Daphnia pulex: one gene and its partners. The protein of the gene in region 1 purifies or fractionates together with the protein of each later gene. This does not show direct contact. Links are inferred from orthologs where the notes say so. Each region holds a gene or a part of one and is shown on either strand. Other genes may lie near its edges. The genes, in order: ribonuclease P protein subunit p20-like, inhibitor of Bruton tyrosine kinase-like, ribonuclease P protein subunit p30-like, ribonuclease P protein subunit p40-like and ribonucleases P/MRP protein subunit POP1-like.

Region 1 (4,951 bases):
TGCAGTAAGATATTTTTTCACTGAATTGAGAGTAGTGTTTTGTTTGCCACTCCATATTAAGGCAAACTGATCAAGAATTAGACTTTTTTCGGAATGCTGCAATGTTCGATATAAATCACAGAAAACATGCGCTTTTTTCTAAAAAAAAAAATAAGAGAACATTAGTTTTATAAGATAATAAAAACTAAACTAAAAAACAAGAAAAACAATAAAACATGAAAAATTGAAAGTTTACCTCCACAACAAGACTACTGCTGTTTTTCGATTCTTGCAATTCCAATAAAGCTTTTGAAGCAAGCTCAAAAAGATCTTTTTGAATGAGAGTACTTGCTGTTTGGAAGCCTGGGTTTGATACCGAGTTGCTTGAAAAGGTGTTTACTTGTGTTAGTTGAATGTTGTTGAGACTCATCAACACAACATTGAGTTGGGTATTGAATGATGGATTCTTCATCAGATCACAGTTTCTTGCAGTTGATGCACTTGAAGTCAGTTGTGTCCGGCTTCTAAAGATTGCTAGCTTGGGATAAATCAAAGCTATGCGACTCATAACTGTTCCTTCCTGGTTCAAAGACGCTGCGCGAATGAGAAACATATAGAGCTAGTGGGCTTTATAAGGCGGGAGAACTTTGTAAACGTAGTCTCACGAGGTGTATACCTTTTTTTGGCCGACCTTGGAACCATATATTACGATGTAAGGTTTTGGCTGCAACTATTTTCCCAATATTCAAAACCATTCATGTACATTGAACCATGAATTTTACCTTTTAAGTTTCATCAAAAACAAGAGATAAATATTGGGATTTTCCGTTAACCAATGCAAGAGATAACTTTGAACGATGCAGCAGGATGCAGTATGATCAGCAGTTAGCACCCAAACAGACGTCATACACCCGCCCCCAGGGCCCAGACGTGTTTTCGTCGATTCATGTATGCTCACTTGCTTAGAGCCCGCCACTGCGCCACAGGTCATAGAGTGCGTTTGGATGGCTGCCAGACAGGCCTTTGACCAAGAATCCAAGATACGAGTTTGGGTTTTCCAAACTTTAGGCCAAATATTGATACTGCAAATTTACGTTAATTCCCAGCTGTTATCATTAAAAAAATAAATAAATATACATTTTTTTTGTTTTACCTGGATTAATTTTACCAAGCAAAAAAATCGAAAAAAGTATCTTTACTAGCGAACCTAGCGGAGATTAATAAGGCGTATACTCGCATAGGCATAGGCCTTTCATTGTACACTACGTATTCGTATTCTAATTTTTCTGAAGCTCGACTTTAACTGCGTGTATGTGATTTTGTAATCACGTGTGGATAGTATTAATACGGGTACAGTTAGCAATGCCATATTGTCTAATTTGACAATGTCAGAGGGGACGAACGATTCCGCGACAGGTGTCAGACAAGAGCAGGTACCAAACTCTAAAAAAATACGCTACGATCCAGAAGAATACAAACTGAGAAAACGATTGCCAGCTCGGCTTCCGTCACGATCAAACGACGTGTATGTCAACAATAAAACAGATTTCAAGGCTCAACTCGCTCGCTGTTTCAAATGTTTAGAAACTGAATCAAGTGTTCATATTCATGGTCTGGGAGCAGCAGCTCCTAAAGCAATAAATCTAGCGTTGCAAATCCAACTGAAATCAAACACTCCTCTAGAACTTTCAGTAAATACATCAACAGTTCACTTGATTGGTAATATCTTTGTTGTGTTTTGTAATACTATTATAAAATAATTGTGAATTTTTCAGATGACTTTGAGCCTCAATACGATTCTGGAGATTTCTACTCTAAAGAAAGGCAGAATTCTGCAGTCATCATTAAAGTTTACAAATTGTTGAACATGGACATGAATGGAAAATAAAATGTTTTTCTCCTTGAAAGAAACAACTCGCCTGCTGGGCCTTACTCCTATAGAGATATGGCTCCATATTGTTGGATTTACTGTATTCTCAATTTTTTTTGTATTGAAGGCTGAATCTGTTGTGACCTTTAACTGGTGGTTAGTGTTTTCTCCTTTATTTGCTGCTGATGGTGTACATTGCTATTTTGTTTATGTGGTGCTTTTAAGGATGCTTCTTGCAGGGATGTATAAGGCAGCTCCATTGAGAGCTTTGTGGAGCTGTACCATTCTTGGTTTACATTTTGCTTTCAAATTTCTTCTTTGCAAAAAACTGAATGGGCAGTTGTCAATGGATTATGCTGAGATTTTAGCCCCTGTTATGATTATGCTCCAACTCTTCATGATAAGGGCTTGTCAAATACACTGATGTGAAAATAATACTAAAGGACATTAAAATGTAATAATAATGTATGCCTTGTTTAGAAATTGTATGCAACAAAACTACACCAAAAATACAATTCAGATAAAAAACAAAGGAGAACATTACCAGTTAATACCTATAGTACTACCAGACTCCATGTATTTATTTCTTGAATTTGTTTTCAATTGATGAAGAACTTGATGTAAGATGTACAAATAGGATAGAAGCTGCAAAGCGAGATTGCACATTGAAGTTATCGACATCATGAGCCCACTCTACACGGCCCCACTGTCGAGTCTAAAGAGTTCAAAGTTAACACTGATAGCATTTATGAAAGTAAGAAAAACAAAATCTTAATACTTGAAAATTGGTTTCGAGAGTGGCCAACCGAACGCTTTCTTCCACAGTAAGATGTCGATCGACACAAGCAAGAGCTAAAATCAGCGATTTCACTGATTCTACAGCAAACATTAGCCCGTTAAGAGTCCAAAAATCATATGAGTGCAAATGCTTTTGAAGAACATCTCTTGCTTCTATGGGTAAACACGGACCGGTGATGGCACTTGAAGACTCAACATTCGTACCATATCTGTAAACGATGAAATTATTTATATTACATTGTCGGTTTTATTACTTATTTTTTTTTACAGACCTTTGATTAAACCAGTCAACCAATGGATCCCACTCTTTTGTTTGTTCAGATGACCATTCAGAGTTACCCTATTGTTTGCATTAAAATATGTTTTACAAAACTTATCAGTTTATCCTGTATAATATGTACTAAATCAAGTAATTACCTCTTCCCTGCACAAAAGTGTATCATTGTCTAGGTAGGTAAGAATGTGACTGACAATATCTTGTTTTCGTAATTTGTTTGGATTATCCAGGATAGTGTTAACAAGAGATGTCTATATTTGAAAGAAAACTTGTAAGCAAGATTGGTAAGCAATAAGAAAACTTTTACCATAACTCACAAGATGCATTGACGATACTAAAATTTTTTCTTCCTGGGCATCCCATTCATTAGCAACAGCTAGAGCTAATGGTTCACTGGAAACACGAAATACACTACCTGCAGGAGTTTTAAGTTTTCTATTGTCAAGAATGATTTCAAAATCTTTATTTGATTGGACAGTGCTGACTTTTTTGTAAAATCTTTTGCGAGTTTGAGAACCTGGAATAAAAAACATAGAACATTGTAATGTGCTGGAAAAAGAAGCAAATGTGTCTAAAAAAATAAATAATCATCGTAATTTGATTAACGAGGTGTAAAATGAAATACCCAAAGATGATTGATCTCCTGACGACAATTGAATGGATCGACTAGTAACACCGTTTCCAGCTCCTATTTGATTATTACCAAGTATTCTCAATAAATTAGAAGTGCCGGAGCCAAAACGTATTAAATTATTAGTTGAAAAAGACATTGTTGACGAGGTGACAAATGATTTCATCACCCACCAACAAGCAACAACCGGGTGCTTCGAACTGTAGCAGACCAAAACTGTTTTCAAACAGAAAAAAGGAAATGTGGGGTACTGGGTTTCAGCAACCAAGTTTTCAGCTAGTTTCTAGCTTTTGTTCAGCTACTAGAGATACAACAAATCTAACTTTGTAATTGGAATTTGGAACGTCCTTCAAATACTGGTTTCGAATTGTCGCAAGTATTTTCAAAGTGAGTAAAAAAAATCAACATGCCTTATTATAAATACTGTGTCATAACTCATAAGTCAATAAGTCATAACTCATGAGCAAAAGGTTCATATATTACTTCAGATCTACGAGTAAAGTAGACGTCATTTTTAGACTCCAACAATGGAACAAGACAATTAATTAAACGGCCACAAGTTTCATATATTTAGTCCAAATCTTCGGGGATACAGAAAAAAAAAATCCAGCAAAATAAAAACATGACGCATCAACTTCTTTGTTTTCCTTTTTCCGAAATGGATTATAGATTAAATGAGGTCAGCCACTGAAATTGATTAAAAACAAACACATTTAGAAAGAGTTAAAAAAAAACATGCTAAAAATATTTTACCATTCATGGGCATTTCGTCAACCTGTGTAGCATAGTACTGTTCGATATCGCGGAGAATACGGATATCGTCATTCTTGACAAAGTTAATTGCAACACCTTTACGTCCGAATCGGCCAGAACGACCGATACGATGGATGTACAACTCACGGTTGTTAGGGAGATCGTAGTTAATGACCAACGAAACTTGTTGAACATCAATACCACGAGCCCAAACGTCAGTTGTAATAAGAACTCGGCTAGAATAAACGAATAATTGTTATTACTCTGAATGGTTATATGGTAGACGAAAATTTCAATACCTCTGACCATTACGGAATTCTTTCATAATAGTATCACGCTCTTTTTGAGGCATGTCTCCGTGCATTGAAGAAACGGTAAAATTCGCTTCACGCATTTTCTCCGTCAACCAGTCAACCTAAAATCAATCTAACTGTGTTACATCGAAATCAACAATAGAAGAGATTTAATCGTGACTAACCTTGCGTTTAGTATTACAAAAAATAACCGCCTGCGTGATTGTCAGTGTGTCGTACAGATCGCACAACGTGTCAAACTTCCATTCTTCTCTTTCGACAGCGACAAAGAACTGTTTGATTCCTTCGAGTGTCAACTCATCACTAAACCACATAAAATAATTAGTAAT
Region 2 (6,299 bases), on another chromosome or scaffold:
TTTTTATACATTGCATTAGGATCTGAGTGACGCCATCAATCTCACTCGTCGTCGTCCACCTGAAGGCCGCGAAGAACCCAACCCAGTAATAGATGAAGAGTTGCGCTTAGCCGCTTCCCTGGTCGACCAAATCGAAGAAACCGATCATGTTCTGTCGAAGCTGTTGCGAGTTCTGCGGCGTTTGATTCTGGATAAAGATTCTACCATGCATCAACTAAATGACGAAAGGTAACAAACTTGCTTCATTTGTTTCTGTTATCAAAAATTTGTGAACCATAAAACATTTCTCTACAGAGAACAACTATTGGCAAGCCTTAACGCTCAGACTGTAGCTTTGCTCGAAGCTAAGGAAGAACTAAACAAACTACGGAAGGCAGGAGAAGAAGCTGAGCCGTTAACTATGGAAAAAGTCGTTGACTTAGGTTCCTACCGCTGGAATGATCTCTCTGCCCGGTTGGACGCTCAAGTGTGCTGGTCAAAATCCGTCTCGAAAGTGTTGGAAACGTTGCCAATCGATGTTTTACACGCCCACCCAGCTCTGCAGCACCTTTTACAGAATTTGGTTTCCAACGTAGACGAACACGATCCTAACGCAAATGGTTCCGGCTAAACATTTCCTAATCAACATCCAAGTATTATGAAAAAAAAAGCTCTTTTTTATTATTTCTTTCTCAAATTTTCCTTTCGCCAAGTAATAACTGACCGTTAAGGTTCAACAACAAAAGACGTATCTTTTTATGTTTTACATTTTGATGACTTGAAAAATAGAACGTGTGTGGTTATTTTTGGTCCAATTCCTTTTTTTTTCTCTTCAAATCTATACGCTATAAATCCCACTGACATCCCATAAAACAATAAATCGGTTGCACATACAGAAAAAGGACAGCAACTGAAGGCGACACTAGTAAAAAGAACAAAACAAAATATAGGGAAATTTCAACAATATAAGAACGATCATTTTGGGAGCATGCACGAAGTTGCATCTTTTGGACAGTTGGGATATTCTTTAAGCAACGAATCATTCAGATCAGCCTCTTGAGCACAGGCACAACGAATATTTTTGGAATCGGCTGAGTAGAGAGAGCGAGGAAATCCTACCCAGTCCCTTTTGATTCCACCGCTAACCAAGACAAAATGGCATCAGTTAATCACACACGTTCATTCATAACACATGTAGTAATTTTACCTCTTTGTCGAACACCACACGCGAGATCCTTCTTCTGGCTTGTATTCAATATTGCACATGGGAAACTTCTCTTTGAACAAGTCTTCATCTTCTTTGTGACTAGAGGCCTCTTTTATCCACTGTTGAGCATCATGATAATATTCGGTTGTTTTCCCATCAGCATCAAAGAATAATCCCTGAAGTTTACCTGAAGATAGAAAATATTACATAAACATGATAACAACAAAACTTTTGGACTAATTACTTACCAATGTATTCATAATCTTTTGTGTAGAAGTCCAACCAATCTCTAAGTCCTATATAATCTTGGCTTCCTAATCCAGTTATATCATCAATGAGTCCTTCTGGTTTAAAATCTCCAGTCACAAATGCTCGGGAACCATCAACTCCTACAAATACAACATTCAACAGTTATTGGCGACATAATATACAAGAGTACTAAATACATTTCATGTACTGTATAATACTTGCCACTAAAAAAAGCATAACCCCCTCCAGGTCCGTAAAAATCTCTTCCTCTGGTGACGTCATATACTCTACCCATAATGGCAAGGTAAATGTCACCCCCATTTTCTCCCTTGTAGTTCGCTAACTCTTCTTTTGTGAAGACACGTGTGGGCTCAACAGGTGCTGATGTTGGTTCTTTAAGTTGAGCATGATCAGAATGATCAGTTGAAGTAGTAGACCCTTTAGAACCATGGAACCATTTGAAGAAAGATACTAATGCAGGAAATTTTGCCGCAACATCGTGGAGATATTTGGTATTATTATGCAAAACATTTGGTTGAAACCAAGCGATCACAGATGCAAGGAGAAGTACGGCTAAGGATAACTTCAGTAACTTGTTCATCGTGGTTAGTTCCAATTCAGACTGCGTCTCGTTACTTATCTGACTTAAACCCTGATACAAGCACGAGGCTAGATAATTCCGCTATCCACTTACCGGCCGCAGGCAATTGATAACAAAATAAAAAATACTGAGATGTTTTGACGTCTCTGTTGTCTGCTGTTGTGACTTGGTGTCAAAAATTACGAATTGTAGTAGCTCGCACAAGTGACTACAGATGGCAGTGAAACCTTGTAAACAAAGAGTTCCGTCATCATATTTGGGAGAATTTTCGTCAAGTGAACACGAATAGTCAACAGTCGTAAGTCTCAACAAGATTGATCAAGATTCTAAAAACAAGCATTATATAGAGGCATACCCAGTTGTGAATATTAAGTAAAAAAAATCGTTTCAAAAAGTGACAGCTTATCCATTTCCCAAAGGTTAATTCCTAAACTGAATTGCATGTCTGACTAAAAGGCTATTCATTTAAACATAATTCTATTGTTGAGATAGAACATATAACATATATTTGATCATCAACAGCATTAAACATGTGGGAAGAATGCACAACAAAATGTTCTTCAAGAAAACATGCAGATAGCATATTTTCAGTTTTCATCGCTGCTGGTGATGAATTTGAGGATATGGTTATGAAACTTTTACCAACCTGCTGTAACATAGCCAGCAATAAAGACTCATCAGGAAGAACTGCTTTACAAGTTGCAGCTTCACTCGGGAAAATGAAAATTCTGCATTGGCTATTTTCTCATGATGTCTATGTCAATGCTAAAGATGAAGAGTCTGGGTACTCTGCCTTACATAGAACTTTTTATTATGGGCAATTACAAGCTGCAAGAGCTTTGCTGCACAATAATGCTAGCTTATTTCATCCATTAGATAATGACTATATGTCTCCATTTGACCATTTAATTCAAGACAGATCCGATTTGAATAAACTTGATGCTAATCTCCCATCTCAAGTACATGTGTGGGGATCAAACTCAAATTTTGGTAAGATGCAATTTTTTTTTAAATAAATTTAAAAAAAATCAATATTCATTCCTATTCTTTTTCTACAGGACTTGGAAAGCAACAAAGTCCAGAATTACCAGAATTATTGGATATTTTTCCTAAAGGAAGTGGTGGCATTAAGAAGGTGGTTATGAACAAATTCCACTCAGTGTTTCTGACATTATCAGGCCAAGCTTTTTCCTGTGGAATTGGCCAAGGAGGCAAACTAGGACTTGGTTCAGAAGCCACTGTTATAATTCCACAGAAAATCAGCATAGATGCTGAAAACTCTTCAAACAGCAAAGTGAAAAAGTCTGCAGTTATCCTGGAGGCAGTTTTGGGAACATATCATACAATCCTTTTAACTGAAGGTGGAAATGTAAGTTGGTTGATTATACATTATTTACGAAAATGGCATTTATTTATCAAATATTTTTCAATCTACAAGGTTTTGTCCTTTGGCAGCAATATGTATCATCAAGTAAGTTTTACGCAGTTATAAACATAATAATCCGTTAACTTATCCATTTATTTTGCCTCCTTCAGCTAGGCCACAATCCTCCTCCGAATCAACTAGTCGCCCCTAAAGTTATTACCCGGTTTGAAGACAAAAGCAAAGGAGTCATTATCAAGGGTATTTCTGCAAGCCGCTTTCATTCGGTGTTTTGGTGTCAACGTAATGTGTACACTTGTGGGCTTAACGCTGGAGCGCTTGGGCATATCAAAGGGGATAAAACCGTCATTACGCCTAAACGAGTATACATTCATTTCAAATATCTGCTTGAGTTGTGAAATGGAATTAATTGCATTTAATTCAGGTTCCACTCTTATCTGAAGAAAATTACACAATCACTCACGTAGCAGCATCTGATGGTGCAACTGCAATCGCCACAGAAGGTGGAAACGTCTTTGTGTTGCATGAGTTTCAGTGTCGCAAAATCGCTTCAAAGTACTTTTACAATTAATTTCGGTGACGTTCATATATCCAAACAAGGATTTTTCTCCTTAGGCAATATGATTTATTGAAAATAGTCATGGAAGGAGGTAAATTGGATTTTTCTCAAGAAGATTTGGCAGCTGATACAAGCGTTCCATTTCAGGTAAAATTGCCATATTAGTTTTCGGCATATTTATACAACTTTAAACTGATTCCATTTTGAACGCGTTCAGGTTCTTCTTTTAACGAAGAGTGGAAAAATATATATCTGGTCACAAACACATCCGGTGCTTACAAAGTATGTGAAAGATGTTGAAGTAATAATTTCGCTGATTAATTTGCTCGTCGCAAAATTTTTAGATGTGCTTTTCGCGGTAGCCCGTTTTGCATTATAAAGGATGTTTCACTTTGCAAAAATGCCATTGTACTTGTCAACATAGAAGGTGGAGCTTTTGTTGGTACGATTGGGAAAAGGTTCGTTAGCAAACGCAAAACAGAAGCTCATTGTGCTACTCAAGAAAATGTCTCACGAATAGAGCTTCATAAGCAGGAACATTTGATTCGAATTCAAATTCAGAGAATACCTGGAGTTTATCGTGCGACAAGTATTGTGTGTGATCCAGCTGGTAAAAACTTTGCTGTAATTCAGGTAAGTGCTTGCAAATTTTCATCTTTCTTGCACTTAATTTCCGTGTTTTTCTTAGATTCTTCCTAGCGCTGAAATGAAAGATGCTCAGATTTGCATTCCTCCTTCCCAATTGCAAACGGATTTGAAACAACTTCTTCAGGATGCTGATCCTTATGATCTAACACATGATATCGTTTTTCTTGTGGGATCAAAAACGTTTGCTGCGCATCGTTTTGTTTTGTCTGCAAGTTGCAACGCTTTCTACCAGAATGTCTGTGCTTCATCATTATCTTTTAAAAATGATAACAAAACTGTCCACATCACCGACGTCCCAGCAGAAGTTTTTGAATTAATATTGGAATTTATATACACTGGCACTTGTGCCATCTTCGAAACTGAAGCCGTCAAGTGGAATCTAAAGTTACCTTTGGAGGAACCTTTGGATAAGGACAACTATGCGGAAGATCTTCCTAGCGCCGTAGAGCTGAAAAGAGTAAAAGGCGAGGAATGGAAGTCAAATGAACGAGATGGATTGTCACGTGTCCTTCGAATGGTACAATTTCATGCGAAAAATGTAGGACTTCGAAAACTGGCGGAAATATTGGACAAGGTAATAATTATTTCTCATTGAACATTTCAGTCTCAGTTTTATTGCGTATCTCAAATACTTGCATTTAAATTTAGGCCCACATTGCAAATACTGGTTTGATTCGCAATGATCGCTTATACCTTCAACCGAAACAATGGAATCGGTTTTCCGGAGACGATTTCTATGATACTAAGATTGTTAGTAACGACGGTAAAGAGTTTGATGCACATCGCGCTGTTTTGATTGCTCGGTCGGATTATTTCCGAAGTATGTTCAGCTACGCCTGGATTGAGGTGAATAACTTATCGACGTTGTAATTCGAATTTTTTTTTAAATTTTCTTCCTTTGTAGAGCGTAGTTTCGAAAAAGATCCCCCTTCCTATTCATTCATTGGTTCTCGAAGTTATTTTAGACTACTTTTACGAAGATAAAGCTTCAAAGGTGGAAAAATCAGAAGATGTGGAATGGATAAGCAATTGCTTGGTATCGGCCGATCTCCTTCTGATTCCTCGTTTGGTTTCAATATGCGAATCAGCACTTGTTGGATTACTTTCAATAAAGAACGTTGGGAAAGTTCTTGATTTTGCAGCAGAGTATAACGCTACTCAGCTGAAAATTTCATGCATGCATTTTGTATGTTGCAATCTACCAGCCGTGATTGAACTGAGGTATCTTTACGTTTTATGTTAAAATGCAATATACTAAATTATGCGTGTTTTATATTTGGATCCATAGAGTATGGAATTGCCTTAGTGAAGAAGTCATGAAGGAACTAACACATTTCTACCAACAGTTCATTCCTAGAATTAGTCGACTTCCAACTCCATCCAAACACCTCACTTCTGACGATTTGGATATTTTCACGATCACTGAATCACTCGAAGACGTCAATTTAGCTTCCGTTAATCGAGAACGAGATGTCAAAAGAAAAAAAACGCGGAGAAAATCGGGGAAAAAAGGGAGCGAATTCAAACATCCTCATCAGTTGCAAATAAGTGAACCTTGTTCACCGTTAACAAGTGATGTAAACCCGAATATCGAAAATACGGTATGCTTGAAAAAGGAAGTTTGGTCAAAGGTAAGTAAATATGTAATATAAGAATTTTCGTGGCAAGCGTA
Region 3 (5,034 bases), about 2.4 Mb from region 1:
AGAAGTTGAGGATACACGAGCCCGTCTCAGGTATTGAATTACAGTGTTCTAAGAAAACCACGAAAGATTTACTTGACTCATTTATGAATAGGAATAAAGAAAAAGAGTTAGACGACGCAGAAGAAATACGACAAAAGGACATAGCAGTGTACAAGCAGCAAATAAAATGCCTGCTTCATGAACACCAGACAACTTTGGCTGAATCGCGGGTTTAGTTTTACTTTTAAATAAAGTTGAATGAAAACAATAACTAAATTCTTTGTTATATAGAACGAGCAACAAACTGCTTTAGAGCAAGCTCATTTGGAACATCAGGAGCAAGAGCAAATACTGCGTCTAGAACAGCAGCGTTTAAAAGAGGAAATACGTCAGCTTAGTCTTCAACAGCAACTTACGGTCGATAAGATCAAATTGGAGCACTCGAAAAAAATGAGCGAGATGCGTAAAAGTCTAGAGCACGAAGCTAGACAACTTGAGCTCAAGTTCCAAAATCAGACGGAAGCGCAAAGGAACGAACTAGAAAAGCGAAGGAGGAGCGATTTGCAAGATGTTGATACAAAAGATCAACAGCATTTGGCCGTACTGAAAATCAATCACGAGCAGGCAATAATAAATCTGAAAAACTACTTCAACGATATCATTCTCAACAACATGACACTTATCACCTCTATGAAGGTAAAACATACTGTTGTTTTTGTAGAATCGTAATCGTAAAATTGAGTATCCTAATGGCCAGGAACAATTGTCCGAATTTCGTGTTAAAGAAGAAAGATTGGAGAAGCAGTTTCATAGGACTGATAGAGAAATAAAGCACCTTCGTGAAAAATGCGAGCAATTGGAGAGAAGTAACAAAGAATTGCAGAAAGACACAGAAAACTGGCTGCACGCTAAAACTTCTCTTCAAGTATTCTAACGTTACAAGCATTTTCTACAAAGGAAACAAATTGTAAAATTGTCTTACCTTTTAGGCGGCAAAGGGTCACGCTAAAACAATGTCTAAGCAGCTTGAAGAAGCAGTATGGCAACGTGAAGTAGCTGAGCAGCGTTTAGCGCGAACTAAAACTGAACGAGATGAGTTGGAAGAAAACTTTATGGCTGCCATACTGGAGGTGCAACAGAAAGCTAATTTGAAGCAACTCGTTCTAGAGAAAAAATTGTAAAATAATTCATTAGATATGAGAAAACAGATAACAGCTTCTAATTTGTTGGATTTCAGAGAATCTTTACAAGAAACTCTCAAGTGTAAGGACAATGCTTTGAAGCAATTTACCTCGCACGGTCCGGGTTCAAACGGTGATGGGGGTACAAATGCGTCTGGCGAGACTGTAGTAATTTCCACACTTTCACTCACACTTTTAATCAGCAAATTGTTAATTCACATTTTCTATCTGTACAGTCATCGTCTTTGAGAGAAGGGAGGAAACAGACAGTGGTTAAAATGAATTTTGAGGCACCACACCACGAGGAGCTTCCAGATAAATCATTTCAATCTTCCAATGAAAGTTTAGCAGCTGTTGAAGAAAGAATCAGCATCAAATCTGGTTCTGTCAAATCAGTTGTAGGTTCAACAAAGTCTACATCAGCAGTTCTGGACATCAATGGTGCTGGTGTTGGAACCAGCACTCAACGAAAACTAAAAACAGCCAACTGAACAAAAACAGAACAATCTACTTCAATTTAATTACTTCACATTTTAATTGTTATATTGTTTCTTAGTGTTCTAACTGTTTAAAAACACCGAAATCAAGCGTGATTTTCCTTTAACAAGTGTCTGTCAAGTTGGTAAACAAATAAATTTGCGTCGCTAGAGGGACAGAAATTCGTCTGCTTGATTCACATGCTTGCTTCGTTTGTGATTTGTGATTTTGTTTCAAAGCACGTGACTGAATTATCAAAAGATTTTCGAATATATAAAACAATGAACACTGTGCAAGGTTTCTGTGATTTCAATATCCCATGTCCATGCAGTCCTACTACAACACTTAAAGAAGTCGTGTTGAGAGCTGTCAAACGTAAATGAATTAGTTAAAATCCTGCCCTATTTCGTCGTTTTCACCTGTTCTGTTTTCTTTCAGTTGGTTATAGTGCCATAGCTATTAACACAACAATAGAAGAAGATGTTTTAATCAACACCAAGAAAAAAGGGAACAAGAAAAATGAAGTAAAGGAAGAGAAAAAAGATGTTCCACCTCCTCTAAAACTTAAATTCACCGAAGAAGAGTTGAACTTATTTAAAGTATTGTAAAATGAAACTATGGATTTGATTTTATATTCAAATTTACCTCTTACTTTAGGTCCATGGGAAGAATGTTAAAATCTTACATCGGTTGACTGTCATGCTCAGTGACCCTGTGAATACACAGAAACTTGTGAGTACTCCATATAAATGCACTTTATTTGGGAATTACTGATAAGCATTTTGTGTTTCTCAAAAGATCCAATCGGGGAATACCAAAAAATCTGATTTGATAGCTGTCTGCCCAACAACTACGGCTGCTTTTCTAGTATTTTATTTTTATCTTTATGATTGAAATCAATTTTATTTAATTATTTTTTTTAATAGCATGCAGCAGCCAACATGGATATAGACATAATCACCTACCATCCGACTGAAACCAAAGAATTGCTGAGATTCACCAGAAAACATTATCGCCAAGCTACTGACAGAGGAATATTTTTTGAGATTCCCTATTCACATATGCTTAGAGATTCGTCAAATAGGAAAAAGATTATCCAGATTTCACATTTGTACCATACAGTTGGCAAATCCCGGGTGAGATTTATCTATTTCAAATTCAGAATGACCAAATTTTACTATTTGTGTTTTGGAGCCTTAGTTGTTTATTACTATATATATTCAACTCTTCCTGTAGAACGTCATAATCAGTAGTGGAGCTCTTACACCATTAGAACTTCGCAATCCTTACGACGTAGCGAATTTGTAAGGAACACATTGTTGATACTGCTTATTAACGAGACTAAATAAGTCATTGCATATTTTAGAGGATTACTTCTTGGATTAAGTGAAGGAGAAGCTAGATCTGCTTTAAATTTGAGTGGACGATCCGTTGCACTTCATGCTGGTATATATTCCCTATAAATTTCTGCATTTAACTTTACACTTTTACATTTTTCATTCGGGAATTTCCAGTGACTCGAAAAACAGGAAAATGTGTCAGCTTTATTGCTGAAACTGACAAGTTGGATCCAGAGGAACAATGGAAAGCTAAGGAAATAACTGACGCGGAAGAAAGACTTGCGGGAGAACCAGAGCCCAAAAAGATGAAAATGGAAACTGCTTAGTTTAATAGTCAAAAAACGAAATTCGACAACATCTTGCACTTACTTGTATTCCATTTTGATCAATAGATTATGGCTGAACTACATAAGAACAGAAAATTTGAAGTTACAGCTGCTTTTGCGGAGGGCTTTACATGTTGCAATTATAGATCGATGTATCGCACGTCATAGACATTCACACTTTCATGCAAACAAAATGTTGCCCTAGGTATAGAGAGCCTAAAAGCTACCTACACAACATTAAATCTTAATAATCTTCTCGTTTTTGAAAGATCTTTAATTTCATATTAGCACTTCAGGTATTATATTGAATGACAATCAAAATTAAGGATATGTCAAGTTCTCTGTCACAAAATCTAAAACGGTGCTGCTTAGAAAGTACTCAATCAAATGAATGAATAAATTTTGTGTGTATAAAATAACTCAACTTTGTCCCTTTTGTCATACGAGGAGACGTGAACAGTTGGACGTAAAAAGTTTTCAGATTCTTGGAAGATCTAGAAGTTCAGGACCTGTGGGCTGCATGCGGTCAAATAAGTGAGGAAGAAAGAATACAATGAATCATAAAAATCGCTTGAAATTTAATTGGCAATGAATTCGTTTTGTTATTGGTTTTTTGTCTAGTAGACCCATGAGACGGGGACCCATTGATGCTGGTTGGAAAGAATTTCCAATGCTTCAACCACTTTGCGAAAAGTTTGATCGGGATCTTCATTAATAATAATCTGATCAAAATATTTCTCGTAAATTCGCTGAATACGAGCACTCTCTTCCAAGGCGTTTTTGAAATCCTCTTCCTGTAGAGCAAAATTTGAAATAATTAAATTGATTGGGGACAAACTAGATTATACGACATGCAAAACATGTACGAAAATAAACCTCGTATAAAGATGTCAGGGATTCGAGAGTACGTGCTCTTCTCGAACTGAAACGAATGGAACTGGAACGATCGAACTAGTTAAACCAAAAGGGGGAAAATGGGGTAAGTTACACAAACATAAACACATTTAGAAAACAGAAAAAAAAAAATAGAATTCTAACCGTTCCCAAATTCCGGCTGGAATATCGGGAGTTCTCGTAAAGACTTTTCAACTGGTCCATTCCAGGTGCAGCTAAAAAGATGACATAAGGCATGAACTCTGGTGAATTGTGTAGAGTTTTTAATGCCTACATGAAATGCAGAGATAATAGAGCTTTGCTATGGTGTTAATTAGTCAATATGTTATTAAAGAAATATTACGTTCGGGCTGCAGTCAAGAACGCACATTTTGCCCTGGCGGATTACGGCGCGGATGGTATCTAACTTTGTGCCATAGATATGATTGTTGTGCTCTCCAAATTCGAGAAACTGATGATCACGGACGTCGTGTTCCATTTCTTCGCGCGAGACGAACCAGTAGCCCATACCATCCTCCTCCAATTCACGCATCGGCCGGGACGTGTCTACAAATACAACATGTTTAATCCGTGCGTATAAATGCAATCTGCGATATGAAGAAAATTTTTACGAGGCATGGTGGTTCCAAACCGATCAGGATCACTGTTGATCAGCCGGTTCTTTAATGTACGTCGCCCGATGCCTTCCGATCCTACCAGTACCAAAGTCTTCCGACGAAACGGTGGCATGCGAGTAACCTCTTCGTAAAGGAGTAGCTCGGCTTTATCCAAATCAACACTTGATTTGATTTGGTACATCAACTTTTTTTTCTTTTTTGAGATCTGTTAATGGTTGTA
Region 4 (5,632 bases), on another chromosome or scaffold:
AATCATAAAAGAATCATGAAGACCATGTGTACAACAGAAATTTTTTTGTTTGGTTTCTCACCAATTTCCTACTGAAACTCTTTGTTATCAAGGTACTTAGTATTCTTTTAGAAATGTCAGCAATTCGGTAAGAGATAATCCAGTTATTAAAAAACCCCAAAGACCAAAACGAGGTTTAGGCCGTCAAAGACCGTTGATTCGGTGACTAATGGCAGTATGGCAAGTGGAGGATGGGGGAGGAGGAGCATAAACAACAAAGATGGCGCAATCGCGCAAGGGTGTCAATAGACCTCTTGCACCGTGCGGATAGCAGGATTCTTGTAGTCCGACAATGTTGCAATCCGCCATCTTAATAAAACCACACCCTTTTTTTACATGGGCTCTTATGGGAGTATTTTTTCAAAGTGCTTTTTCTCTTACCTGGATTACAACTTCGACCAAAGAAAAATATGGAAAAATACTACATCATTCAGGTAATCCGTAGAATGTAAGTTTTCCACTATTGAAGTAGTGGAAGTCATATTAATTAAATGTTTTGTATAGGGCATATGGGCATTGTTTACATATGTAGGACCAAAACATGTATAGTATACTTACAATTTTTAACATTTTCCCACTGAAACACTTGGTAATTGATTTTTCCTTATTATTTAGATTGTCGTGTGTGTGTGTGTGTCAATTTTACACTGAAACACGATACGGAAAACAAGTTAATGTTGCGAATTGGAGATTTTGAACTGGAGATTTTGTTGCATCTGCCATTGCTGTGTGATTGTGAAGACAAAAACGTTCCATATGTCATATGTGTTTGTCCGTTCAAAGCAAGGTAATTTTATAAAATTATTAGTTTAGATGTGCTATAATAAACTCATTCTTTATTTAGCACTTGGACGTGCTTGTGGAGTCTCCCGTTCTGTTATTGCAGCTTGTTCTGTGACTGTACATGAGGGATCATAACCGAAACCACAGATTCAGTCTTTACAACAAGAAATTGAAAAACTTCTCGTTTGATCTCTCTTGAGGGACAATGCTGTGCTTGAAAATACAATTGCCATTTGGCTGTTCATTGCCTAACATCTCATCTTTTACATTAATCTATCAGGTTCTCCATTCCATTTTGTAGATTTTGATATAGAATGTGCATTTCAATCCACAACAAATATGTACAGCATATCGGATTGTTGTTAAAACTATTACATTCAAGAGTTAACCCATAGAGTTCCTTCTGTGTGAATTATTAGACGTGCACTACTTGTTTAATACAATTTTTAAATGTTTATTAAGCAGAACTTGAGAAGAGATTAGGATAAAAGACAAGGCCTCTAACAGTATCATCTCTACAAATCAATCCATTTCTTTCCATGAAATAAAGACGTTCTTGTGCCAACACAATCGATATTTGGAATTCCTGTGAAACCTCCAATGCTGTGAGTTTATCCCTAGCCTGTAACTAAAAAAATTTGAATATGTTAGGATTGCATTAAAGAAAAAGTAATGAATTTCAATAGAAGTATCAATTTGGCTGTGGGTTTAATAACTGTTATATTCATGTGCAACAGCCAGGACCTAGATCAGAAACAGCAATTGAGTTGAAAGTGTCGACCTCAGAATAATGAGAATATGAAATCATTAAAAATACATATCAACACGATACTGGCTATTCAATCAGGAGATCAGCCCATTAATGAGCTCTTAAAATTGATCGCAGGGCGCAGAAAAGAAGAAGGACACCCTTTGACAACACACTTGTGATAAAACCAACTTTGAAATTTTAGGGGATGCCCTGTACAAAACATTTAATTAATATGACTTCCACTACTTCAATAGTGGAAAACTTACATTCTACGGATTACCTGAATGATGTAGTATTTTTCCATATTTTTCTTTGGTCGAAGTTGTAATCCAGGTAAGAGAAAAAGCACTTTGAAAAAATACTCCCATAAGAGCCCATGTAAAAAAAGGGTGTGGTTTTATTAAGATGGCGGATTGCAACATTGTCGGACTACAAGAATCCTGCTATCCGCACGGTGCAAGAGGTCTATCAATTCTGAATATTCTGATTTCTGAATTATTAAAAGTCTGGGTAAGTAATTATTGAGTAATCTCTATGGAAAATAAGATTAATGGGTTAAATACTTATAAAAAGGAAGAGATTTTTGTGGGAGCTCGGAGGGTGTTTAAAGGAAAAGCAAGCTTAGCGGGTACAGTATTTTCTTTTTGTAGACCTTTTCCAGATGATTCTGATTAATGCAATTATCGTAATGCAGCAAATTGATCACTAAATTGAATGCTTACATAGTGGTCGTTATTCATTATGCTACAAATATTCGGTTAATCTATTGTATCGTACAAAATCTTCCAGAGTTCCAGACTTCATTAGAAAATCATTAGAAAATTATGAATTTTCCACGTAACTTCTTCTTTGGCCCTCTTTATTCATTGCCTAGGTATTTTATATCATTATTATAATATAGTCGACTTAGATAGTTTAAATAAACCGCGTAATGATAGTGACGCCATCTATAAGCTTTGAGATAAACTATCGATAACTAAAAACGTTTTCGCTAGATGGAGTAGGAACTGACTAAAATAGTAAACAAAACAATTACAAACCACACCGGATCGAAAACTTCTTCTTTTTTCGTTGGAATTAACTTTCAAATACTTCCTGAAATGTACAATCCAGAGGTAATAAATTTTCCTCCACCAAAATCCTTGAAACAAACATGCACATGGAAGAAAGACCAAATACTTAATAAAGTGCCTTCCCAAGACCTAGGAAATCATTTTCATGGGGTAAGAGTGAAACTTCAATAACTTTTTACATTATTCTAATAGAGGAGTATTCTTGTTACAGATTACTGCAATCTTGTCTGGGGAAATTACTGAAATAGCTGAAATTCAAGACTTCTTTTTAGACTCAACATTTTACAGAGTTAACAAATTCCCCGTTCATAAGTTGCTGGACCCTGATTTTCTCTCTGCATTTGTTAAAAAAGGACATTTTGATGCCAGAACTTTAGGAACATGGGGTGAAGTTGATCAGAGTATTGTTGTTGAATCAGGCAAACTTCATCTTTCTGTCTGCAAAGATGTGTATCAAGAGCTAGGGTTAAGTGGCCAAGCAGAGGTAATTTCATCCAAAAAGTGTCCTGCTAAATACGGTAACTTAATTATTCACTGTAAATTTTTTCAGTTTGTTAACATTGTATTTGGTTTTCGTAGACATTTCTGTTAATCTTCTTGATGATAAGTTTTCCCCTGATTCTAAATACTACAAAAGAGTTAGTTGGTGTTTACAAAATCAGACAAGTCTACAATTTGATTGGATCATGAATTGGCATCCACACGGTAAGGCTTTTCTTAATAGTGGAAATTGTATCAAGCGTTGACTAATAATAATGTTTTTACCACAGATTCTGACATCTGCCCATCTTCCCTTGCTGCTTACCTCGACTTGCTTGGCTTTCAGGTAGTTCAGTGTCTGCCATCCTTTGAAGAAAGAATTTTAAATCAAGTAAAGGTTCCACTGCTATGCACTGAAACAGACATTTCAGATGTTGTTGAATGGGTTGGAGCTGCTGCATTGAATATCACATGGTAACTAGATATGCTTTTAGAGTAAACTGAGATATTACATTCTTTGTTTTATTTATCTAAGTCCTGACCAAGAAGATTACACTTCTTCAATGACATGCCCAGAGCCCAGTTATAAATCTGAAAAGGTTCACATCTTGAAATGGAAAGGATTTTTTTCTGCAAGACAGGCAAAAGAGTTACTCGGCGTGATTTTGAAATTGCGACCAGAAGCAACAGAAAACTCTGTTCAATCATGGCTTAATCTCACTCTCATTGGATTTGATGAATTCCAAATAGGTGTGTTTTATTGGCAATCATGTTAATTTCACATATTAATTTATTTTTAATTTTCAGCATCAAGTATTTGCTCGGTTTTTACAACGGCATCGGACAACTGCCAAGTCTTTACAAACCAGACATCTAGAAGGAAAATCAAATGAATTCAATTCGACTTTTGTTATTTCATCTTCTGTAAAAACACATCTGAATAAATTAAGTCAGATACTGGATCGATTAAAACAAAAAATTAATCTTTTATATCTGTACCTCATAGTTGCTTACACATGCAACTGCACTCCGGTATCACTCGAGTTTTGCCATTACAAAAAGGAGGGAAAGAAATGTAATAGCCATGTCCTCAAACAGCCTAAAATTCTGTGTCGCAAAACAATTTTTTCATAGCATTACTTAATGATTAGAACTTAAAATTGCGTATTGTTTATGTTTAAGGACTGAATACGTTTTTAAAAGAAATCAAGCTTTACACAGCTGCAAAAAACGCGGAAACTAGTTATTTCTACCGCAAATTTTTACAAAGAACGTTTTCACTGAACGACGACTGTGTATACTAATAATGACATACCTTTGACAAAAAGAGGGCCATGAGTCAACAGCTCAGTAGGAAATTCAATCAACAGCTGTCGGTGCACTGCTGCGAAATACCTTGAAATAAAACCACAAAAGAAAAATATTTACCACATGATTATTCGTAACAGAAGTTTCGAATCCTCTCAGACCGCACCAGTCTCGTATGGAGTTTGTTCCTTTCAAGGAGATACACCAGCTGCAACTGTGTAAAACGCAACCAAGTCAATATGTTTACGAAAAATTGAATGATTTAGTCAAAGAGCCTTTTAAACCCATAGCGAATCCTTGTCGCTAAATCAGTTGGGAAAACGGAACCTTCCGACTTGGGGCCATCGCAAAATGGCTCCACTATCGACAGCGTTATTCTATATACTAATTTTGTCTTTTACCTGGTCGAGTTGCGCAGCTAAACTCACGTTAGAAGAAGAATTACAGCAACTGAAGGAAAGCTATGTAATAAATCAAAAATGTTTTATTTAATTAAATTTCATTTAGGTTAGCTTTAATGTTAAAACTATTTAAATTGCAAGGTTCACCTAAAGCAACTTATGGATATCAAAATTGTTCAACTAGAAGCTAAAGATGCTCAGTTAGAAGAACTTTTGAGACTAAAAGACCAGAAACATGTAAGTCATCGCTTTCACTGTTAAACCGGATATTAACGAACTATAAAGATTGTAAATCTAAAGCAAGGAATTGGGAATGCTCCTTCAATCAACAGTCAATTAACCCCAAGTAACGCTACTATGAGACAAGGACTAGCAACAAAAATGCCCACTTCCTGCTTGGATCTTAAAAGTCTAGGACACCAATTCAATGGAGTGTACTCGGTAATGGGAGCTAAGTATGTCGAAACAGTCTACTGCGACTTTTCCAAATTAACTTTCGATCCCAGTAAGTTCATCCTCTGATATAATACTTTGATTTGCTCAAAAGAAGGAGCATTGGAATGACTTTTATGATTTAATTAATATAGGTTTTGAAACGCGAATTGGATTTTCTGATATCAAATCTACACCGACTTACTTCTTTGTCAGGAGAAACAAGAACGATGTTTTCAGTCAAGCAAATACAACAATTATATTCGACGAAGAACTAGTAAATGTGGGCGGAGCTATGAATACATCAACGGGGAAATTCACGGCAACGACAACAGGGACTTACTTTTTCAACCTGAACGGATTGG
Region 5 (6,404 bases), on another chromosome or scaffold:
AAATCAACATTTCTAAATAGTTTTGATCTATGCCACAGCGTTTTCATTTCATTCAAATGGTGTTTCAGATGAAGATCGACCGATTGAGACGAAACAATTTTTCAGTAGCTAAGAACAACTCCAGAAATTGACGAAAATATAAGTAGGAAACATTTAAAAATTGCACTCCGTAAAATCTGAGAAAACATCTGGATATTTTCCGATTCATGTTATTTGGCTGAAAACAGTGAAATATCTATCATACGAACATACAGTAATATCTAGAAAAATATTTTTTATGATGCACGAACACATATTTAAAAGATAGTACGTACTTCTCCAAAGCCTGTATAAAATCGGATTGTTTTTGTTATTCTTGTTAATAAAAGTCGACAAGAATATGGTTAAAGTGGTTAAGAAATCTTTTTCTTTAAGTAAATGGTGGCCCTGAAAAGGGCCGATTGGATTGAGTCGGAGTTTAAATAATAAATCAGAATCAAATTTAACCGCCGAAACCGTACAGAGTGCGGCCCTGGCGTTTCAGTGCGTAGACGACGTCCATGGCCGTCACCGTCTTCCTCTTGGCGTGTTCAGTGTAGGTGACGGCGTCACGAATCACGTTCTCAAGGAACACCTTCAACACACCACGGGTCTCCTCGTAGATGAGACCAGAGATTCGCTTGACACCACCACGACGGGCAAGACGACGGATGGCCGGCTTGGTGATTCCCTGGATGTTGTCACGCAAAACTTTGCGATGACGTTTGGCGCCTCCCTTGCCGAGTCCTTTACCTCCTTTGCCGCGACCAGTCATTTTTTTAAATGAGTTTCAGAGAGAGTACAAGAACAAACTGAATGTCGAATGCTTCCACCAGGGCCCCTTTATATACTAATCGATCCGGTGGGAAATCCATCCGCATTGGTTGAGCTTAACAGCCACCCCAACTCAGGTCAACAAAGCCCAAGCTTTGTATTCCTCAACTTCCCTCCCATTTTACCCAACAACCAATTGCTGAAAAAGAGATCCCATACATTCCTCAACGTCTCCCTGGACCCCTATATAAACCCATCATCCCCCCACTGTTTCCTTATCTCAACTTTCAGTCGTTCGACATGGCCCGTACCAAGCAGACCGCTCGTAAATCCACCGGTGGCAAGGCGCCCCGCAAACAGTTGGCCACCAAAGCCGCTCGCAAAAGTGCCCCGGCCACAGGAGGAGTCAAGAAACCCCATCGTTACCGTCCCGGCACCGTCGCCCTTCGTGAGATCCGTCGCTACCAAAAGTCGACCGAGCTTCTGATCCGCAAGTTGCCATTCCAGCGCTTGGTCAGAGAAATCGCCCAGGATTTCAAGACCGACTTGCGTTTCCAGAGCTCGGCCGTCATGGCTCTGCAGGAGGCCAGCGAGGCTTACTTGGTGGGTCTTTTCGAAGACACCAACTTGTGCGCCATTCACGCCAAGCGAGTCACCATCATGCCTAAAGACATCCAGCTCGCTCGCCGTATTCGTGGTGAACGTGCCTAAGCGACTTTTAAAATCCCTTTTGACTTACCAATCGGCCCTTTTCAGGGCCACCATTTACTAAAGAAGAAGATTACCAATCAACCATTGTTTTCATTACTATATTCTTGTAAATCTTTCTTACCGTCACACATTGATGTGAATGGCCTAAAATAAAGAATACTCTACTCATCACTAACCACGGTTTCTTTCTAAATGCCAGAATTTCACAAGCATAACCTTTTCGATGGTTTCAATGTGCAATGGAAAACTTCTAAATTTTGGTAAACAAGGAAAGATATTGAATCATGCCCTATTTTAGAACTGCACCCAAATAAGTAAAGCCCAAACCATGTAAACAGATTAGACTACAAATTAGTATCATGGGAAACTGAAAACTTTGAACCAACCTGGTTTGCAAACAAAATCAGGCAGTCGGTTTATCCTTGCGGTCCTCAGCACTTATCTTTCAATCCTAACACTTCATTTAAATTCACAACCACATTCCAAATCCCTAATTATTTGTTTTAATAATCAATAATCCTCCCCCCCCCAAAAAAAAAAATGAGAAACAAGAACATAGACAACAATCAAAATCTATATATGCAGACGACCTAGTAAACAAAACAAGCCACCTGTTGGCCAACAGTTGGAAAATCTTCTTTCTAGACGGTGCGACCAGCGACCTCCCAAAACTTAATATGTAGAAGCGGAACGGAATTCTCTTCCCGCTTTAACACAAATGGAAAACAAATTATGTAAGAGAGATTTAACCTTTACAACAAATTGTTTCATTTAGTACTTGATCTGAGAGTAAATGATTCAGTTCTGATTTCTCTGAGGTCAGCGGTCTGAAAAGACTCTACTTCTCAATGGATTCCGAACTCCCGTCTTCGGACGGCACATTTATTGATTCAAAAATTTCCATTACTCTTTATTGAAGCCCCGGAAGGTGATTTACTGTGTTATGTGTGATGTGAATGTGATAACTACTAAAAAAGTGAATATGAAAATGAAAACGCCGCTCTAACCCATATCGTGATCACTTCAAATAAAACAACAGAGTAAGTCAGTAGTTCTGTGGTTCTGGTAAATTGGTAATAATAGCATTTGAAAAATAGAAAAAAATTGAAGATTGAATCTGCGTAGAATTGTAATGGAAAGTTTGGCAACGAGATTACGAGATTGACCGATTACCACAGCAGACGAAAACGACAACAAGTTAGTTGACACGTGAGTTAGAGCATGTGATGTTGATGTTCAAAATTTCAAACTTTATTTGAATTAATCACCGTTGCTTACTAGAAAAGTAAAAATCACCTTTTGTAAGATGACTGACGAAAGAAACAAAATGACGCAAAATGTTCCTTCTGATTTATCAGTCGTTCGATTTTCTTCTGTTAGAGCCCAGGAAATTGTTGCTCTCACAAAAATGATAGGTGAGTTTCCCCCCTCCCCAAAAAAAGAGTTGTCCTATCAACATTTGCTAACATGTTGTTTGCCTTAAGAAAATCCACAATGCACCAAATTACTTTTTCAAAAACTGCCATGTCATATGCGAAGAAGAGCAATGAGCCATAACCCAAACAGAATGCCAAGAACCTTAAGGGAAGCCCACAAGGCCCAAGTAAGTCTGCTTATAAAAGTATAGCTCCACACTGAATAAACTCTATATTTATGTGGATTTAGATGGCAAAGAGTGGTCCAGCAACCCAGCCTAAGAGGCCTAGAAGGAAATATAGACGCAGACCAAGCAGATTGCTGGAAGAGTATAAAAAGCGATCTAGTAAAGTCTCTTGGCTAGAAACACACCTGTGGCATGCCAAAAGGTTTGTTTCCATTTGTAGGTTATGTTAAGGACATGTTACTACTTTTTACCATTTAGGTTTCACATGGTAATCAAGTGGGGACATCGTCTTCCTGAAAGATCTTGCGCTCGCAGTCACAGATTCTGCTACCGTTCAGTAGCTCAACATTGCCTGCTAATGGTATCAATTCAAAATATTAATGATTTACGTAATTATTAATTGCCTCTTTTTGTTCAAAGGACATATCGTACTTGTGTTGCGTTGAAATTCAAGGTCCACAGGATGAGATCGTTCGAGGCCTTATCTCTCTCTGTGATCCTAAAACTGGCCCAACGTTTGGTGCGTCTACTTTCCTTAATGGCACTCGTGAAGGAAGAGTGATCATTTTCAAGCGAAATCAGTTTTCGAGCGGCCCCATCGGCTTGGTTACGTTTTTGTGGTGCAATACAGGGAATCCGGATATGCGAACCTTGTGGATATGGAGCCATCCAGCTTTCTACCAACAGTTTCTGTGTGAGCTGAATTCTATTTTCGAATCCGATTCCGACTTATTATGCAAGCCTCCTGGAGTCAAGATTACCTTAAACAAAGGAAAGCTAAATCGGTTCAGATTAAGAGGGCCCTTTGCACATTCAGTTGTATCGTCGTTATTCGACAAAGAAACTAGGAGCGCGTCAAGTTTATCACAATCACCTGGGTTTGTCACCAGTGTTGAAGTCAGAGATCCTCGAATGATACTCGCACAAACCCGAATCAAAGCGTCCAGTTCCACGGTAGGTAACTGTGAACTTGTAGGATTGAGCCAAAGTAAATTGTGGGATGCCAGCGTTCGAGATCAAATTACCAATATGCGAACAAGTTTACCCGATCACGTCATCAATAACCGTCGTAGTGAATTACTTGTTCCTGGCACCGAGTTACCCGTCCAGCCAGAAGAAATCCCCATTCCAATCCTCATTGTGAATGCATCTCACGAGAGCAGCGGTAAGTAAATACATTTCTTTTATTATGTAATTTTTTTTTACCTTTTTTTTTCCTTTCAAGATTTTGTTCCTGGCTGTGACGTCATTTTGCCGGCTGGATGGGCTACAGCTTTCTGGCTTGCACTGATCTATAGTGGAGGGCACGCTGGAGGTTTGAAAGATGCGGGAAGCATGAATTTTGAATACGGAATTTGTCGGGATCTCTGCTTAGAAATCGACAGTGAAGCAGGAAAAGCCACTGCCGTTGACAGAAAAATGAATTTGATGGAAGAATACTTTCGTAGACCACCTAAAACAAGAACCAACTTCATCAAATTAGCCACACCTTTTCCGTTCTGCGTCGATTGGGATCGCCTTACAATCGACTGGATCGGTCAGTCTGAGTCAGGTTTCACTGTATTACGTGACAAGAAGCTCCTAAGTGGATTGTGTCAAAAGAATAGGATTGTGCTACCCGAAATCTTATTATCTCAACCTTATTTAGTGCCCGTGACAGTTCGAGTTAAACACGGGTCACCTCAGGAATTTTCAATGATCTGTTTACCGGGAGCCGATGATAAAGTTAATTCAGTAATTAACGAGCCTATTCACCAAGATCCCTGCGCCAAAGAACGGAAAATGTTACGCCAACAGCACAGTTCCCTTCTGAAGAGTCTTGCGAAAAAGAGGAAAGAATTCCGGGATAAAGATGGAACCATTGGGGACTTCTCCAGCGCCACTGCAATTGCTGTTCACAAAGAAAAGACTCGCTCGTTATGGCTGCCTTCTTCCTGCAATTTAAAAACTTCATTCGCCAGGCCGATCATTGGATTTGTCACTCAAGGAGATTTCGGTCTTAGCGAAGGAAAAGGAATTGGTCGTGGATATATAGTCATTCGTGCCATTTCACAAATACCTTTGTCTCTTGTGTTGGTTCGAAATCCTGGAACTAATTTGTACATGTGGGCTGAAATTACAATGGAGTAAAATACATTGACAAACTAATTGAAGTTATCACAAGTTATTTTATGTGTAATGTAGAACATCAATTCTTGGTTACAATAGTACATTACCCATAGCGAGATTGTATTGGTAATGGTATAATGGATGAAAGTGAAAGCAGAACATCAAATTATTTTATTTCTTTCCAACCATTCCTTTCTTCCCACGTTTAGGCATGACTTCCTCACTATCCGAATCGTCTTCATCGTTGCTTTCTTTCTTTTGCTTTCTCGTTTTAGTGGTACGTTCTTTAGACGCTTTACCCCCGTACTTGGCCTCGAGAGCACTGAAGAAATTGTCAGCTGATGCGGCTCTGTCCGTGTTCCTTTTCTGAATTAAAGCTCGAAGACTGTCTTCGCTTCTAAGAAGATTTAGTTATCAATTATAAAATATGTTAATAAAGTGAAACTTATACAGAAACTTAAAAAGAATAAAAATTTGTTACCCATCATTCTTCAGTCCCAATTCTTCAGCCATTTTTTCTGCCATTTTAGCTTCGCGATCAGCCTTCTTCTTCCTGGCGACTTGCTTTTTCTTGGATTCTGAAGTAAAGGCTTTATAGCCAGTAACCTCATCGTTGTCAACCATCTTCTGGATAATTTCTCGTATTCTAGGTTCATCATCGGCAGTAGCACACATAACTGAACTCATGATCATGTCCATATCTCCCTACAAATTAGTTTATGATTAATTTTGTTATTGTTATGGTCAAAGCATTAGTCATTCAAAATGTAAGCCTGCAATTACCTCGTAACGCTCATAAAGCTGTTTAACATCTGTAGTTTCTTCTTCTGAGCCTTTGTATTTATTTTCAAATTCTGTAATATCTTGCTCTGTTACTTTTTTGAAAAGAAACCTCCAATAGTCTTCCCAATTCTGGTCACCCTTTGAAAAATCATCGTCATCAACACAGCCTTTAAATAAAACTTTTATTAGTTACAAGAGCTATTAGTGTAATAATTTCTACTTGCCTGTTTCATCGTATATCTTCCTTTTTTCTTTGTCACTCAAGATTGAGTAGACTTTACCAAGAGTTTGAAACTTTTCTGTTGCATTTTCTTTGTCTTCTTCGCCGACTCTGTCAGGATGAACCTTTAGGGACTTCTTGTAGTAAGCCCTTTTCACTACATTTTTTTAATCATAAGAAGTGGAA

The links.
Region 2: the proteins of ribonuclease P protein subunit p20-like (region 1) and inhibitor of Bruton tyrosine kinase-like purify together in Homo sapiens (affinity purification with mass spectrometry; 3 studies listed by BioGRID and IntAct, with this or other methods). This does not show direct contact. The link is inferred for Daphnia pulex from reciprocal best matches to the Homo sapiens genes POP7 and IBTK.
Region 3: the proteins of ribonuclease P protein subunit p20-like (region 1) and ribonuclease P protein subunit p30-like purify together in Homo sapiens (co-immunoprecipitation; 4 studies listed by BioGRID and IntAct, counting the BioPlex papers as one, with this or other methods). This does not show direct contact. The link is inferred for Daphnia pulex from reciprocal best matches to the Homo sapiens genes POP7 and RPP30.
Region 4: the proteins of ribonuclease P protein subunit p20-like (region 1) and ribonuclease P protein subunit p40-like purify together in Homo sapiens (co-immunoprecipitation; 4 studies listed by BioGRID and IntAct, with this or other methods). This does not show direct contact. The link is inferred for Daphnia pulex from reciprocal best matches to the Homo sapiens genes POP7 and RPP40.
Region 5: the proteins of ribonuclease P protein subunit p20-like (region 1) and ribonucleases P/MRP protein subunit POP1-like purify together in Homo sapiens (affinity purification with mass spectrometry; 3 studies listed by BioGRID and IntAct, with this or other methods). This does not show direct contact. The link is inferred for Daphnia pulex from reciprocal best matches to the Homo sapiens genes POP7 and POP1.

Annotation. Positions count from the first base shown.
Region 1 is NC_060018.1:3,380,702-3,385,652, forward strand, and holds ribonuclease P protein subunit p20-like, read left to right. Parts: upstream 1-1,181; 5' UTR 1,182-1,364; coding exon 1,365-1,698; intron 1,699-1,754; coding exon 1,755-1,867; 3' UTR 1,868-2,284; downstream 2,285-4,951. Other genes in the region: malonyl-CoA decarboxylase, mitochondrial-like, read right to left, coding at 1-138, 236-573, 656-734; ATP synthase mitochondrial F1 complex assembly factor 2-like, read right to left, coding at 2,430-2,564, 2,628-2,856, 2,920-2,987, 3,065-3,175, 3,242-3,441, 3,550-3,721; eukaryotic initiation factor 4A-III, read right to left, coding at 4,226-4,242, 4,309-4,544, 4,608-4,723, 4,787-4,925. UniProt on the Homo sapiens protein: Component of ribonuclease P, a ribonucleoprotein complex that generates mature tRNA molecules by cleaving their 5'-ends. Also a component of the MRP ribonuclease complex, which cleaves pre-rRNA sequences.
Region 2 is NC_060022.1:2,496,193-2,502,491, reverse strand, and holds the start of inhibitor of Bruton tyrosine kinase-like, read left to right. Parts: upstream 1-2,212; 5' UTR 2,213-2,566; coding exon 2,567-3,026; intron 3,027-3,094; coding exon 3,095-3,405; intron 3,406-3,474; coding exon 3,475-3,507; intron 3,508-3,572; coding exon 3,573-3,782; intron 3,783-3,844; coding exon 3,845-3,975; intron 3,976-4,035; coding exon 4,036-4,126; intron 4,127-4,196; coding exon 4,197-4,261; intron 4,262-4,323; coding exon 4,324-4,612; intron 4,613-4,667; coding exon 4,668-5,201; intron 5,202-5,275; coding exon 5,276-5,473; intron 5,474-5,531; coding exon 5,532-5,848; intron 5,849-5,915; coding exon 5,916-6,258; intron 6,259-6,299. Other genes in the region: FYVE and coiled-coil domain-containing protein 1-like, read left to right, coding at 20-228, 295-610; neuferricin-like, read right to left, coding at 955-1,120, 1,187-1,373, 1,435-1,575, 1,658-2,036. UniProt on the Homo sapiens protein: Acts as an inhibitor of BTK tyrosine kinase activity, thereby playing a role in B-cell development. Down-regulates BTK kinase activity, leading to interference with BTK-mediated calcium mobilization and NF-kappa-B-driven transcription.
Region 3 is NC_060018.1:995,022-1,000,055, reverse strand, and holds ribonuclease P protein subunit p30-like, read left to right. Parts: upstream 1-2,336; coding exon 2,337-2,369; intron 2,370-2,435; coding exon 2,436-2,504; intron 2,505-2,563; coding exon 2,564-2,773; intron 2,774-2,873; coding exon 2,874-2,941; intron 2,942-3,003; coding exon 3,004-3,083; intron 3,084-3,151; coding exon 3,152-3,303; downstream 3,304-5,034. Other genes in the region: dynein regulatory complex subunit 4-like, read left to right, coding at 1-30, 92-209, 271-675, 737-904, 969-1,156, 1,217-1,328, 1,397-1,651; uncharacterized protein LOC124188900, read right to left, coding at 3,921-4,097, 4,180-4,254, 4,342-4,467, 4,541-4,743, 4,809-5,019. UniProt on the Homo sapiens protein: Component of ribonuclease P, a ribonucleoprotein complex that generates mature tRNA molecules by cleaving their 5'-ends. Also a component of the MRP ribonuclease complex, which cleaves pre-rRNA sequences.
Region 4 is NC_060026.1:1,154,082-1,159,713, forward strand, and holds ribonuclease P protein subunit p40-like, read left to right. Parts: upstream 1-2,572; 5' UTR 2,573-2,673; coding exon 2,674-2,796; intron 2,797-2,857; coding exon 2,858-3,164; intron 3,165-3,225; coding exon 3,226-3,351; intron 3,352-3,416; coding exon 3,417-3,600; intron 3,601-3,661; coding exon 3,662-3,876; exon of another isoform or gene 3,877-3,933; coding exon 3,934-4,019; 3' UTR 4,020-4,088; downstream 4,089-5,632. Other genes in the region: uncharacterized protein LOC124204677, read left to right, coding at 332-473, 544-582, 655-826, 884-947. UniProt on the Homo sapiens protein: Component of ribonuclease P, a ribonucleoprotein complex that generates mature tRNA molecules by cleaving their 5'-ends. Also a component of the MRP ribonuclease complex, which cleaves pre-rRNA sequences.
Region 5 is NC_060026.1:2,973,732-2,980,135, reverse strand, and holds ribonucleases P/MRP protein subunit POP1-like, read left to right. Parts: upstream 1-2,670; 5' UTR 2,671-2,712; intron 2,713-2,784; 5' UTR 2,785-2,809; coding exon 2,810-2,918; intron 2,919-2,987; coding exon 2,988-3,106; intron 3,107-3,168; coding exon 3,169-3,308; intron 3,309-3,364; coding exon 3,365-3,467; intron 3,468-3,526; coding exon 3,527-4,271; intron 4,272-4,331; coding exon 4,332-5,236; 3' UTR 5,237-5,259; downstream 5,260-6,404. Other genes in the region: histone H4, read right to left, coding at 482-793; histone H3, read left to right, coding at 1,093-1,503; dnaJ homolog subfamily C member 9-like, read right to left, coding at 5,387-5,612, 5,697-5,920, 5,999-6,165, 6,223-6,375. UniProt on the Homo sapiens protein: Component of ribonuclease P, a ribonucleoprotein complex that generates mature tRNA molecules by cleaving their 5'-ends. Also a component of the MRP ribonuclease complex, which cleaves pre-rRNA sequences.